2 linked regions of the Caenorhabditis elegans genome follow. The gene in region 1 interacts genetically with each later gene. Each region holds a gene or a part of one and is shown on either strand. Other genes may lie near its edges.

Region 1 (4,792 bases):
TTTTCTCTGCGATTCGATGGCTCCACGAATCCACGCGTCATCCTCCTGCTGCAAAGCCAACCGGGAGCGTGTATAATCCTGAAAATCCACGGATTTGAAGCGAAATTCTCAGATTTTTACCTTCAGAGCGATGGCTCGTTCGTCAATTTGCTCCAAGGTGAGCTCGGTGCGTGGGCGGCGGCGTTCTCTGTAAGAATTCCGAGTTTTTAGGCAGAAAATCGCTGAAAAACCCGATATTTTTCGCGGATTTCACGTCCAAAGTGAGCTCATCCACTGGTTTCGGCTTTTTCGAGTGCTTTTGCATCTGACGAATATCCTTTTCCAGCCGTTTTCTGCGTCGGGTCTCTCGCTGCTTTGCTACCTGGAAAATTTTTGAATTTTTTCTCAATTTTTATTAAATTTCCCGTTTTATTCAATGAGTAACTGTAATTTTCTCTACCTCCGGATCAATTTTCTTCTGTCTTTTCATAAAAACCGAGGAGCCGGCGGGAATTGTTTGATGAATTTGGCGGGTTTGAAGTAGGGAGAGCCGGGAGAGGCTCGCAAGCAGGCTGGAGCTCATTTTACCTGGAAAAATTGGAATTTGAAGTGATTTTACATCAAAATCATCAAAATTCTGAAGAAAATAGTCGAAAAAACCAAGGAAACCTCCTAAAAATCAACAAAAACAATAAAAATTTAATAAAATAAATTCCCAAACGACACTCCGCTATCCCACCCCCACGCGTTGTTCACCGTAAATCTACACAAGCTCCGTCTCTCACTTCCCCACACTCTCTCGTCGTCCCTAATCGATTTTCGGACAATTTTCCGCGTTTTTATTGACAATTTTTGAGTTTTAATAAGGATTTGGCAGCTAAAACACTATGGAAACCATTTTCGAAGACGAGGAGACCATGATGGCTGCTGAGCAGAGTTCTTCAGGGATTTCTGCCAATTGTGAGTTTTTTATCAAATTTTTATTAAAATTCAGGTTTTTTTTCAAATAAAATCGAATTTTTTTTCAGCAAATAGCAACTGTAGTGCATCGAAAACCGAAAAAGCGTCGAAAAAACCGAAAAACGCCATTCCAAAAGTCAAAAACTCTGGAATTCACAAGAAACCCGCCAAATCGGACTTTGACGAGTTTCTGAGCAGCATGAAGAGCCGATTATCTCAAGCTACCAGTATGAAAAGCGTACGTTTTTTAGAAAAATAAAATTTCCAACCTAAAAGCCGATTTTTTACAGAATAAAGAGCAACTCAAGATGTTAGAGGAGACGCAGAAGCTTATTTTCGATAGAATCACAAAGTCAGCCGATGCGCGGGATATGGAACATTTGGAGAAGCAAATGAATAAACTTTAAATGTGCTTTCTTTATTTTATTTTTTTTTTAATTTTGTGGCAAAAATCCATGTAAATTTGTGAAATTATGTATCAATCGCTGTCGAAATAAATTATGTATTTTTTTTTTATCATGTATTATTCAAATTTTAGAAGAAAATTGAGCGAAAAACTGCAAAAAAACCGCAATAAATAGCCGAAATAAATTGTAAAATCAAAGGCGCATGACATTTCCCGTCTGTTGGGTCTCGCAGCGCGCGTCTGACGACGCTCCGAATGCCGCCGAAAACATTGTTTATCCTTTTCTTTTTCTCTCCCGCTCTCTCGTTTTTGCATGCTCTCTCGTCTTCGCTTTCGAATTTAAATGGAAAAATGCAAAGAAATTAACGAAATAAATTGAAAAATGTTATTTTTCAGCTAAAAAATGATGAAAAACGATGAGCAGGACGATGTGGACGTGGTGAATGTGCCGACAAATATCGATTTTCAGTGCAATTTATGCGAATACGTCGGGAAATCCGATCGAAGTCTCAGTGCACACAAAAGACACAGACATCCACGGCCAGAAGGTCAGGAAGATGATAAAAAACCAAGGGTAAGGCGGATATTTCAAGATTCTGATTGAAAAACGAAAAAAAATTTAATTTTTTCCAGGGCCGACCGAAAAAATACGAAGATTCTCCGGTTCCACTGCAACGAGTCACCACAAAACAGCTTCTCGGCGGTCGAAAACGTCCGAAAACGATAGTGGAATGTGTGGATGATTCGGCAATAAGTAATAAATCTTTTAAAAAATCTGTGAAAAAACGATTTTTTGCTTCCAGGAACCGATAAAGAAGCTTCTCGCCTTCACGGACTCGGAATTATTGACGAAGAGACTTCCCTTGGGGATTATGTTCGCCGTGGAGCCAATTATCAGCTGATGGGCGGCTCGGACATGAATTTAGACGGAAATTCCATGATTGTCGGCCAAGAAGTGGTTATTGATCATGAGGAAGACGAGGAAAATGACGATAGTCCTATGTTGGATTCGGTAAATCGAGGAAAATTTGTAAATTTCGAGAAAAATTTTCGTGAAAATTGAGCCAAAACTGATGAAAATGGACGAGAATATATATTTAGCATACCCAAAAATGGTCTGCTAAATATTTAGCAGACCCAACTTTGGACTGCTAATTATTTAGCAGACCCAACTTTGGTCTGCTAATTATTTAGCATACCCAACTTTGGTCTGCTAATTATTTAGCATACCCAACTTTGGTCTGCTAATTATTTAGCATACCCAAAAATGGTCTGCTAATTATTTAGCATACCCAACTTTGGTCTGCTAATTATTTAGCATACCCAACTTTGGTCTGTTAAATATTTTGCAAACCCAAAAATGGTCTGCTAATTATTTAGCATACCCAAAAATGGTCTGCTAATTATTTAGCATACCCAAAAATGGTCTGCTAATTATTTAGCAGACCCAAAAATGGTCTGCTAATTATTTAGCAGACCCAAAAATGATCTGTTAAAAATATTTAAATAATTATGTAATTACATTTTAACCCAGAAAAGCCCGAAAAATACGTAAAAAACCGCGAAAAACTCAAATTTCACCTCAAAAACCTGCTAATTCCTTCAGTTTTTCCAGAAATTTGTTCAAAACCGGACTCGAACTGCATTCCGCCGGTACCCGAACGATCGTCTACCGGACAGACTTACCATTGGAGATGCCAACGGAAAATATAAGTGCTATATGCCGGATTGTCTGTGGAAAGGCGGCTATCGATCACTTCGTATGGATCATATGAAAGCGATTCACCCCGAATGGAAAATGCCTTCAAGGTGCTGGAAAAATCTATGATTAACTAGAAAAATCGTGATTTTCGGCAAAATTCGACCTTAAAATCGTGAAAAATGACCTAAAATTGCTATTTTTAGTCGAAAATTGAAGGAAAATGGCAATTTTAACCAAATGTCCCGTCAAAAAATCGAAAATTTCGAATTTTTTGCGAATTTTCACTTTAAAACTCGATTTTTTACAGATTCCTGCTGGAAAGAATCTCGAAAGACGGAAAATACGTAAATCCGGAAGAGCATGTGCCTCAATACGCTTGTCAGGTGAAAGGATGCAATTGGAGAGGAAATTTCCGGGCTTCAAGGTGAAAAATGGACCAAAATTCCCGAAAATTGGCTGAAAATGAGCCAAAAACGTTCCGACCAATCAGCGACGTTGGCCACGCCCCCTGCACATCGCTGATTGGTCGGCATTGAATTTTTCGTTTTTTTCCACTATTTTCTAGTGTAAAAAAGATGATTTTCATCATTTTTAGGTGAAAAAAATGGTTTTTGAGATGGTTCCAGCTGAATTTTTACTGAAAAACTTGAATTTTCAGCCAAAAACCGCCAAATTTCCAGATCTTCACACATGCGAAAAGTGCACCCGAATGAGCACGCTGAACGTAAGAGAAATGCTCCAGGATACAACTCAAATGGCACATACAACTGTCATTTTCCACTTTGTCAGTGGCGGGGATGGTCCCGGTCGACCAGAAGCACACATTTACGAAAAGCTCATCCCGAGTGGCGGCCCGATGATAATCGAGTCATGGTACGGGCTTTTTCGGGCTGAAATTTGAATGAAAATGCTGAAAAATTGCAAAAAATCGTGAAAATTCGACTGAAATTCGTGAAAAATAATAAAATTGGCTTAAAATGGTTCAAAATTGGCTTAAAATGGTTCAAAATTGGCTTAAAATGGTTCAAAATTGGCTTAAAATGATCTAAATAGCCTTAAAATGATCTAAATAGCCTTAAAATGATCCAAAATTGGCTTAAAATGGTCCTAAATTGACTTAAAATGATCTAAATTGACTTAAAATGATCTAAATTGACTTAAAATGATCTAAATTGACTTAAAATGATCTAAATTGACTTAAAATGATCTAAATTGTCTTAAAATGGTCCTAAATTGTCTTAAAATGGTCCTAAATTGTCTTAAAATGGTCCTAAATTGGCTTAAAATGGCCCAAAATTGGCTTAAAATGGTCCAAAATTGGCTTAAAATGGTCCAAAATTGGCTTAAAATGGTCCAAAATTGGCTTAAAATGGTCCAAAATTGGCTTAAAATGGTCCAAAATTGGCTTAAAATGGTCCAAAATTGGCTTAAAATGGTCCAAAATTGGCTTAAAATGGTCCAAAATTGGCTTAAAATGGTCCAAAATTGGCTTAAAATGGTCCAAAATTCCAATTTTTCAGACGGTTTTGTCGTGTTTCTACTGCAAAAGCTCCTTCCACACGTACGCTCAGCTGGCTGATCACACAATAACTCACGGCGGCTTGGCACTTATGATTTCTCAAAGTTTCGACAATAAACACCATTTTTCGGTGAGTTTTTAGGCAAAAAATGTGAAAATTCGAGGTTTTTAGGTTGAAAATCGGCGATTTTTGCGATTTTTTCCCCAAAAAATTCAGATTTTTCTC
Region 2 (8,067 bases), on another chromosome or scaffold:
CCCGGCTGTGCGGCACGGGGTTCTGGGGGTTCAATTCCCGGTTCGGCCCAACCTTTGAATTTTTCTTGAAAATAAACTAAATGGCCGCTTTTATGTGGTCTGGAAGAAAAATAAAACAATGTTTCAGTTAAAAATGTCATCTATAATTTCATAAATTTATTTATAACCATAAAAACCATTTAGGACTAATTAGGCATTAAACAAGGAGATCATACACATATCAAAATGAAGGCATTAAGAACAATTTGAAACATGTTACAAGAAAAGGCAAAGATAGTAAAGGGGTTTTTTCAAAAGTGAGGTTTTAGGCAGTTTCAGGACTATATTTATTATTGTACATTCCACGGATTCCATGCATTATTGGAATTATCTTGATTATTCGGGGTTCCAGTCGGTGGAAGCCCGGCTGCTTGTAGTTGTTGTTGAAGTTGCTGGAGTTGAGCCGCCTGAGCCAAATCCATTTGTCCGTAGGTTGGAAGTGAGAATGGACGGAGTTGCTGTTGTTGCTGCTGTTGTTGTGGATCAGAGTTTGTGGAGAGATTGTTGAATTGCGGTTGGACAGCACTCCGGTTATGTGGAGATCTGGAAAATAATGTTTAGAATTAATGCGGCACTGCTTTTTGCAAAATTTACAGGTAACAAACCTCATCACCAAGTTAGGTGTCATCAAAACTCCATGTGTATTGTCTGATCCTTCAGGTCCACCACCACCACCACCTCCTTGACCACCTCCAACAGAATCTCCCGGTGAATCCTGTCGCTGCATCTGATGATGATTGTCCCGTAATGGAACATTCATCATAGACATACAGCCAGGTGATTGGGCATGATGTTGATGTTGAGATGGATGAACGACTGAGAAGGCACGCTGAGGAGATGAAGGGTTGCCGTAAGTTGATGGTCCACCGTAATCGTTGGGATTCGGAGAGTACGTCTGGAAATTGATAAATGAGAAATTTCTAGATTCTAAGTTTGTATAACCCCAAACGGCCGATTTTTCAAAAATCCCAAAAACCATCAATTTTTCCTTGTCGAAGCAGCTGAAATATAGTTTCTATTAAACTATAACCCGTTATTGCATATTTTCGGTACTAGATCTTGCTGAAATTCGCCGATTTAGGCACTTTTAAAGTCGATAGGCATCCAAAAATCATCAATATTGGCATAATATGACCAAAATTGGATGCTTATTGACTTTAATAGTGCCTAAATCGGCGAATTTAAGCAAGATCTAGTACCGAAAATATATGCAATAACGGGTTATAGTTTGAAAGAAACTATATTTCAGCTGCTTCGACAAGGAAAAATTGGCGAAATTTCAGAAATTCTGTCGCTTGGCTCTTCGTTAATTCAATAAACCTACCGAAAAGTCATTAGTAGCCTGCCAATTGCTAACAGCATCATCAGAAGTAATTGGACGGAACAGAGCATCCGGATTATTCACAATATTGCTCGCGGCAGCCAACATTCTCTGTCTCTTATACTTTCTTCGTTGAGTCTTTTGGAATGTGAGCACTTCCGAATTGTGATGCTTGATGATGTGCTCCTAAAAATTATGAAAATTATCAAAAATTATCATCTAAAATGCTCAAAAACCTTAAGCTTATCACGCCGACTAGATGCATATTCACACTGATCACACTTGAACGGCTTCTCCTCCAAATGAATCCTCTCGTGACGGACCAGATGTGATTTTTCGATGAATCCACGGCCACAGATCTTGCAGAGATGGGCGCGAACCGCCATGTGGGTACGGAGATGGGCCGCCAGTTGGCTTTTTTTGGTCGACGAGTAGTCGCAACCGGCTGAAAATTAACAGTAATGTTTTCAGGATCTTTAAATATGTCATTTTATAGTGTAGTTTTCAGGATCTTTAAATATGTCATTTTATAGGAAAAATAACAAAAAATTGCTCAGATCAACTCCATAGCTGTTTAAACAATACTCCATGTTTAAAAACTCGAAAAAATTACGCACAGCGTGAAGCGAGCTGGGAAAGGCCCTGCATTGGAGAAGAAGAAGCTCTGAGAAAAGTTCTCTGCAAAAGCGCAAAAACTAATGAAACACGTCGAAATGATTTTATGTCGAGCGCGACGATAAAACCATTACCAAATACCTACAGTACCCCAGTGTGTGTTCGGCAGAAAAAAAAAGTGAAAGTGATATGATCCACAGATGATCTAACCACTGTTTCTATCTTCAGCCGCCGTTTTCTTTCGTTTTTTCGACCATTTTTTGTGCGGAAAAGGCGGCGCTGTGTCGCCAAGGAGAAACGAAAATTAATGGAATAGTACGGGTGATAAGGAGACGCAGCGAGGGGGGTTTTTGGTTGGAAAAAAGTAGAAGTGAACTGCGCAAAAGTCATCCAAATGATGGATCGGTTGGCAGGTGATAACGGAACTATTCTGGCATTCAGTGTATTCCAATGCGTGGTGTTACAGGAAATACAAACTGACCAATGTGACAGCTAAAATTGTCTCCAGTATGTTGACGACGATGAAGGGAAAGATGATCGGCGGTTTTGGTGGCGAAACCGCAATCCTCACAGATATAAGGCCTGAAATTTGGAAGAATTTGATGGAAATTGTGAAAATTCTGAATTTGAATAAAAGTCGCCTTGTTTGGTTTTGAGACAATTATTATTATTGCCTCCAAACGTTACTAGCAAAATTGGAATTGCCTCAAAATCAGATCTTGCATGGTTTTTTATTTCAAATTCGCACATTATTAACTTTCAGATCTCGAAATTTCATAGTAAAAACTTACCTAGGATCATTATGACTAGCAACATGATGATCCAATGTACTATGCTGTTGGAATCCTCTTCCACACTCTTCACAGTGTAATGATCGATCATCGAGTACAGAATGCATTCGTTCGTGAGCAAACAGTTGAGAACGAGTTCGACCTTTCCATGCACATTCACCGCATTTGAAGAAACGCTCGTCGGCTGAAAATTTGACAATTTTAGAGGGTTTTTTTGTTTCTTTTAGAAAGTAATTTTGGAAAACAATTTTATTCAGCCGTTTTTTTTCGGTTTTAATGTGTTTCCTTCGGCAAAGTCAACGTGTGTCTGATGGTAAATTTAAAAAAAAAACAGAAAATTGAAAGCTTAGCTATTCATTCGATTTTTTGGAGATTAATTAAAAATTTAAATTGATATTGTTGGTAAATTCTGAAAATATGAAAAAAACATTATCGATCAATTTTTTTACAAAAATTAATTTTCATAATTTGGTTTTTTAAATGAAAATAGGTTTATATTTCAAGAAACATTGTGAATTTCAGAAAAAGAAACGATTTATCTGAAAATACATTTAATTTTTTTGTAGTTTCAAAAAAAAAGAGTTTTTTTTTCAAAATTAAAAAATGTACGTTTTTTTCCAAAATTTTTGTAAAAACTCACTATGCTGAAGCCTATGGGTCAAAAACTCTTGTATCTCATTTGAAGTGAACGGACACGTTTCACATCGATACGGTATCTCTGTCCAGTGCTCAGCACAATGAAGATAGAATTGTTTGCTCCAATTGGTTTCAAATTCACATAAATGACACATATAATACGTATTGCGATTGTGATGACGAGCTTTGTGCTTTTCGAGAAGCTGAAAATATGAGGAAATTGTTGAAGAATCGATCGAAATATTTTACAACACTTTTCTGGTTTTTTTTTTTTTTTGGTTTTTTGGAACATAAAACTCATAAAACCAGCAGAAGATCGTTCGTACACGAGTTTGTTTTTACATTTTCCCAAAATATGGAACTTTACATCAAAATATTTTTAAAAAAATAAATTATGCATGAAAGTTTCCAAATTGTGCTGTAATTCTTTAAAAAAATATTTTTAAAGATATATATTATATAGACACAAAAATTTGCAATTTTCGAGCCTGGTCTCGACACGACAAATTTTCGTTAGAACCGAAAACAATTATGCGCCTTTAAAGATTACTGTACGGTGTTTTTGTTGATTTTTCATAGTTTTTTTTTCTAAAATTTAAGCTTTTTAAAAACTATTTAAATTTCGGAATATTTGGTTGATAAATAAATATATTTTATCGAAAAACTAAAAATAATCGATAAAAACTCCTCAGATTGAAAATACAGTAATCTTTAAAGGCGTAAATTTTCTTGATGTAGCCAAAAATCGTCGTGTCGAGTTTTGTATATTAAATAAACGCCAAAATATGAAATTTTCGCCAAAATCTGGTCAGGTCTCACCACACCGACAACAGGTTACTGTAGCCCATTGTTCGGTGTGTCGAGACCTTTTTGACGTCTAAAAATAGAATAAATCATATTGACGGTTTAAATTTGAGAAAAATAATATTTTTTTCGCATTTTTTCAAGGTTTTAATTGATTTATTTTTTGTCAATACCTCCTCATTTGCAGTCCGCAGTCCACAGAAAATACAAGTGGACGGTCCATTCTCATCAGGTTGATCTTCTTCATCTTCACAATCATCTGGATCCAAATTGTCAACTGGTCCATAGGTATGACATCCTTCCAATGAACATGTAGCATATACACCATCAATTTCGTCTTCGTCGATCCATGGAATACCTGGAAATTTTATTGATAAGGAATTTGACAGAAGATTTCTTCAATTTTTGATTTTACAATTTCACAAAATCCCTTTTTTTTTGAGAAAAAAAACCAGCTCACTTTCATTTTCCGTCGCATTAATCGGTGGAATTGGGTGCAAATGATGTTTTTTCATTCCTTTTGGTCGTTTTAATCTAAAATTTTCCATTGAATTTTATCAATTTTTTCATATAATCACTAACCGCTTCTTCTCATTTCCCGGCTGGAATGCAATCTTCATTTTCAGTCGATTATTAACATCATTTCCGTATTCAACAACTTGTGCAGATGTTGGATGTCCATCAGCTATATAATCATCTGGATCCTCTTCAGAATCACTTGAATCATAAATATCATCTTCAAATTGAGATGGATCGTGGAGAATCGGAAGATCAACGATTTTCTGACGAAGACTGCTCAGTTGAGTCGAGTACTTTTCCATAAGCATGTTATTTGTTTCCCTACAAAAATTATTTCATCAGTAATAATTTTGTAAACTTTAACAACTCCACTTACATGACATGTAGTAGCAAAAATCGACTTTTCTGACTTTTCGATAGCAACGGCGAGTAATCCAGAAGAAATTCCAGTGTGTCAGCTGAAACTTCTCGAAATTCGCAGGATTCTAGTAGTAATCGGAAGATTTCCTCTCGCTTCGATACTTCTTCACCGACCCAGCGGACTATTAATCTGAAAAAATTACTGTTTTAGTCATTTTGGAACGAAAAAACTCACTTTAAATAAGTGTCAGAAGTAATACAATCCACGTATTTCGGATCTCCAATGAGTCTTGTCAGTTGTGTATACGTGTAACCAATTATATCTCTGGATTCCAGTAAACATCGATTAAGATTGCTGTCAAAGTAGTCTGTAGCAGACTGAAAAAAGAAATTCGAAGTTTCTCGCTTTTAAAGCTTTAAAAATTCAAATTCTTACTTTCACAAGTCCTGGTAGATTATATCTCTGAGCTAACGTTCGTATTGATAAGCAATTGGCCGCGTCTAGATATCGATCCAAATAAGCTGCACAATACACTTTTAGCTTCACTATCTGAAAAAAACGGAATTATAGCAGGAATAGTCGATCGAAAAATCAATAATATTACCAGAAAATTATTTGCAAATCTCAATAGCTCCGAAACACTTGATCGATCGATAATCACTGTTCCACTGTACATATAATTGAGGAATAACTCGAAAACTTGTGGAGATTTGCTATTTATTGTGAGCTGTTCCTTTGTGATTTTGCAATATTTGAAAATTGCGTCAAAATATGGACTGTGAGCTGCTAAAATGTTTCGATGAGCCGCAAATGATTTGTTTTGAACAACAATTTCCACATCACAAAATCGGCCGGTTTTTCGTTGATATTGTAATCGTTGGAACACTGAAAAATAAAAGTTAATTTAATTATCAAGCCAAGATTGAATTAAATACAAAACTCTTACACATATGACTGGTTTGCCCAGAACTATCATCAAATGTCATTGGACAGAGCCCTGTGTTTTCGGAACTAGCTACTAATGTCATCTGAAATTAAATTGAAATAATTTTCATTGCGATTTTATAATTTATTCGATGGGAAACTCACATTTTATCGAGGAAGACGTCAATAAACTTAGAATAAATGCTCCGATTCAAATCGGGTGAGGAGTGTGCAGACGCGCTCTACTGAACAATCTAAAAGATTATCGATTTGCAAATATTATTTCAATGGATTTTTAACGATAGTTATATATTTAACGAAATTCAAATTTTATTCGAGATTTCAAAAAAAGAAAATATATATCTGAGCATAACGACACATAAAAAATTTAAAACTGAGCGAAATTCCAATTTGTAACATATTTTAACAACGAATTAAAGCTGATGTAGACATTGTTCTAATCGGCGTTTTTTTAATGAATTAACAATATAAGTTAGTAATAATTCAAGAAAGAAAAAATAAATAATTAATCATCAGGAACCGGCGTTTCAATTCTAGAACCATTCTCGTATTCTCCATATGGTGTTCTATAAAATTGAATGACTTTCACAACGAAATCATTCACTTGTTCGTCTTCTTCTTCGTATTCTCCAAAACACGGAACGCCATTATTGTGAATTGTAGACTCAAAATCTTTGTACTTTGTATCGCTTTTATTCTCCAGAACAATCAACATCGGAGTAACAATTTCAGACGCATGTGAGACCGGCTCCACGTCTTTCAGAAATTCAGCTTCAGGGTTTTCTGTATCAACTGCACACGTTGTGAATGGAAATTCGAGCATCGGCCGTACGAGTGCACATCCTTTATAGAATTTCTGAAAATAGTGAATTAAAAAATATGAAAATCCATGAGACGCTAAATTTTGTGATTTTCGTGCCAAAAATAGAAAAATATCGGGGTAACGACACGACATTTTTTGAAAGTTAAAGGTGGAGTACCGAAATCAGAGACTTTGTTTTTTTTTAACTATAATGTCGCAAAACTGACGGATCTATCAATAAAACTTTCAAAATATTTCTGAAGAAAACATGTCGTGTCGAAACCGGGTATTGTATTTTTCACCAAAAATCGCAGAATCTCGCGTCGATGTAATATCCCACCTTATGTTTGATAATCAGACTACACGCCACAAAAGATCCAAATTCAAATCCATACAAGTAAATATATTTTTCATCTAACCGCGCTCCGTGTCTCTCGAGAACTTCTAGTACAGTTTCCTGTAAAAAAAATCATAAAATGAGGAAAAAAACGAACGATTCTCTACATGAACATCATTAATACATTCCGAACCACAATTCTTTGGAAAGCAGGTTCCTGGAATTGCTATAAATGGCTCCCGATAGTTTACAACTAGCACACAGAAGCCACAAGTTACCATTGTAGAGAGCACAGGGTCAACGGTACTGAAAATTTAAATTTAATTTTAAATTTATAAATCAATTCTTTATAAACAGGGAAAATTGCTATTTGAACATTTTTAAATTAAAAAAATAAAGATAGAAAATTGCGGTTGAAATTGAAAGCTCGATCCGTGAATTTTGCAATTCTTTCGATGCTTTTTTTGTTGATTTTTCAATAAATTTTGAGTCTAAAGAAAAAAAATCTACCTAACGGTGAAATTAGGTTCTAATCCGGAAAAGGGGACCACGACCAGCGGGAACTTCGATCCGGGAGAAACACATTCCGGCAACATGTAGAGTATCGCAGAATTGCCAATTTTTTGAAAACTCATTGGATAAATGTGAAAATTGTGAATCGTATCGTTTTCTGGCTTGTGTGTGCATAACAGCGATGCCGTGAATTTACCATCACTTTGTGAGCCCAATTGAGAATGCCAAAGACGAGAATAAGCGTTTGCTGTGATCGTTTCAAAAAGGAATTCATCGCCTCGAACATCAATAATTAGTGAAGGCCGTTTCAAGTCAAGGCACGTGGTTCTTAAACTTTCAACGTGAATCGCCAAATTATTCTGGAAATAAATTTATTTTAATGCA

What was found.
Region 2: of attf-3 (region 1) and eor-1, changing one enhances a phenotype caused by changing the other (phenotypic enhancement), as found in Caenorhabditis elegans (one large-scale study listed by BioGRID).

What each region holds. Positions count from the first base shown.
Region 1 is NC_003281.10:83,334-88,125, reverse strand, and holds the start of attf-3 (C2H2-type domain-containing protein), read left to right. Parts: upstream 1-1,741; 5' UTR 1,742-1,748; coding exon 1,749-1,919; intron 1,920-1,978; coding exon 1,979-2,099; intron 2,100-2,148; coding exon 2,149-2,357; intron 2,358-2,960; coding exon 2,961-3,154; intron 3,155-3,354; coding exon 3,355-3,471; intron 3,472-3,727; coding exon 3,728-3,920; intron 3,921-4,327; exon of another isoform or gene 4,328-4,385; intron 4,386-4,492; exon of another isoform or gene 4,493-4,545; intron 4,546-4,567; coding exon 4,568-4,696; intron 4,697-4,792. Other genes in the region: mrpl-40 (Large ribosomal subunit protein mL40), read right to left, coding at 1-78, 121-187, 231-361, 440-562; F54C4.4 (NAM-associated domain-containing protein), read left to right, coding at 867-939, 1,008-1,177, 1,230-1,346.
Region 2 is NC_003282.8:4,793,063-4,801,129, forward strand, and holds eor-1 (Zinc finger protein), read right to left. Parts: upstream 6,126-8,067; 5' UTR 6,115-6,125; coding exon 6,033-6,114; intron 5,972-6,032; coding exon 5,691-5,971; intron 5,636-5,690; coding exon 5,522-5,635; intron 5,464-5,521; coding exon 5,321-5,463; intron 5,276-5,320; coding exon 5,102-5,275; intron 5,047-5,101; coding exon 4,789-5,046; intron 4,741-4,788; coding exon 4,667-4,740; intron 4,565-4,666; coding exon 4,380-4,564; intron 3,606-4,379; coding exon 3,407-3,605; intron 3,351-3,406; exon of another isoform or gene 3,202-3,350; intron 2,951-3,201; coding exon 2,767-2,950; intron 2,558-2,766; coding exon 2,457-2,557; intron 1,806-2,456; coding exon 1,597-1,805; intron 1,547-1,596; coding exon 1,364-1,546; intron 935-1,363; coding exon 645-934; intron 583-644; coding exon 330-582; 3' UTR 132-329; downstream 1-131. Other genes in the region: dpf-7 (Dipeptidyl Peptidase Four (IV) family), read right to left, coding at 6,537-6,887, 7,174-7,290, 7,338-7,476, 7,681-8,042.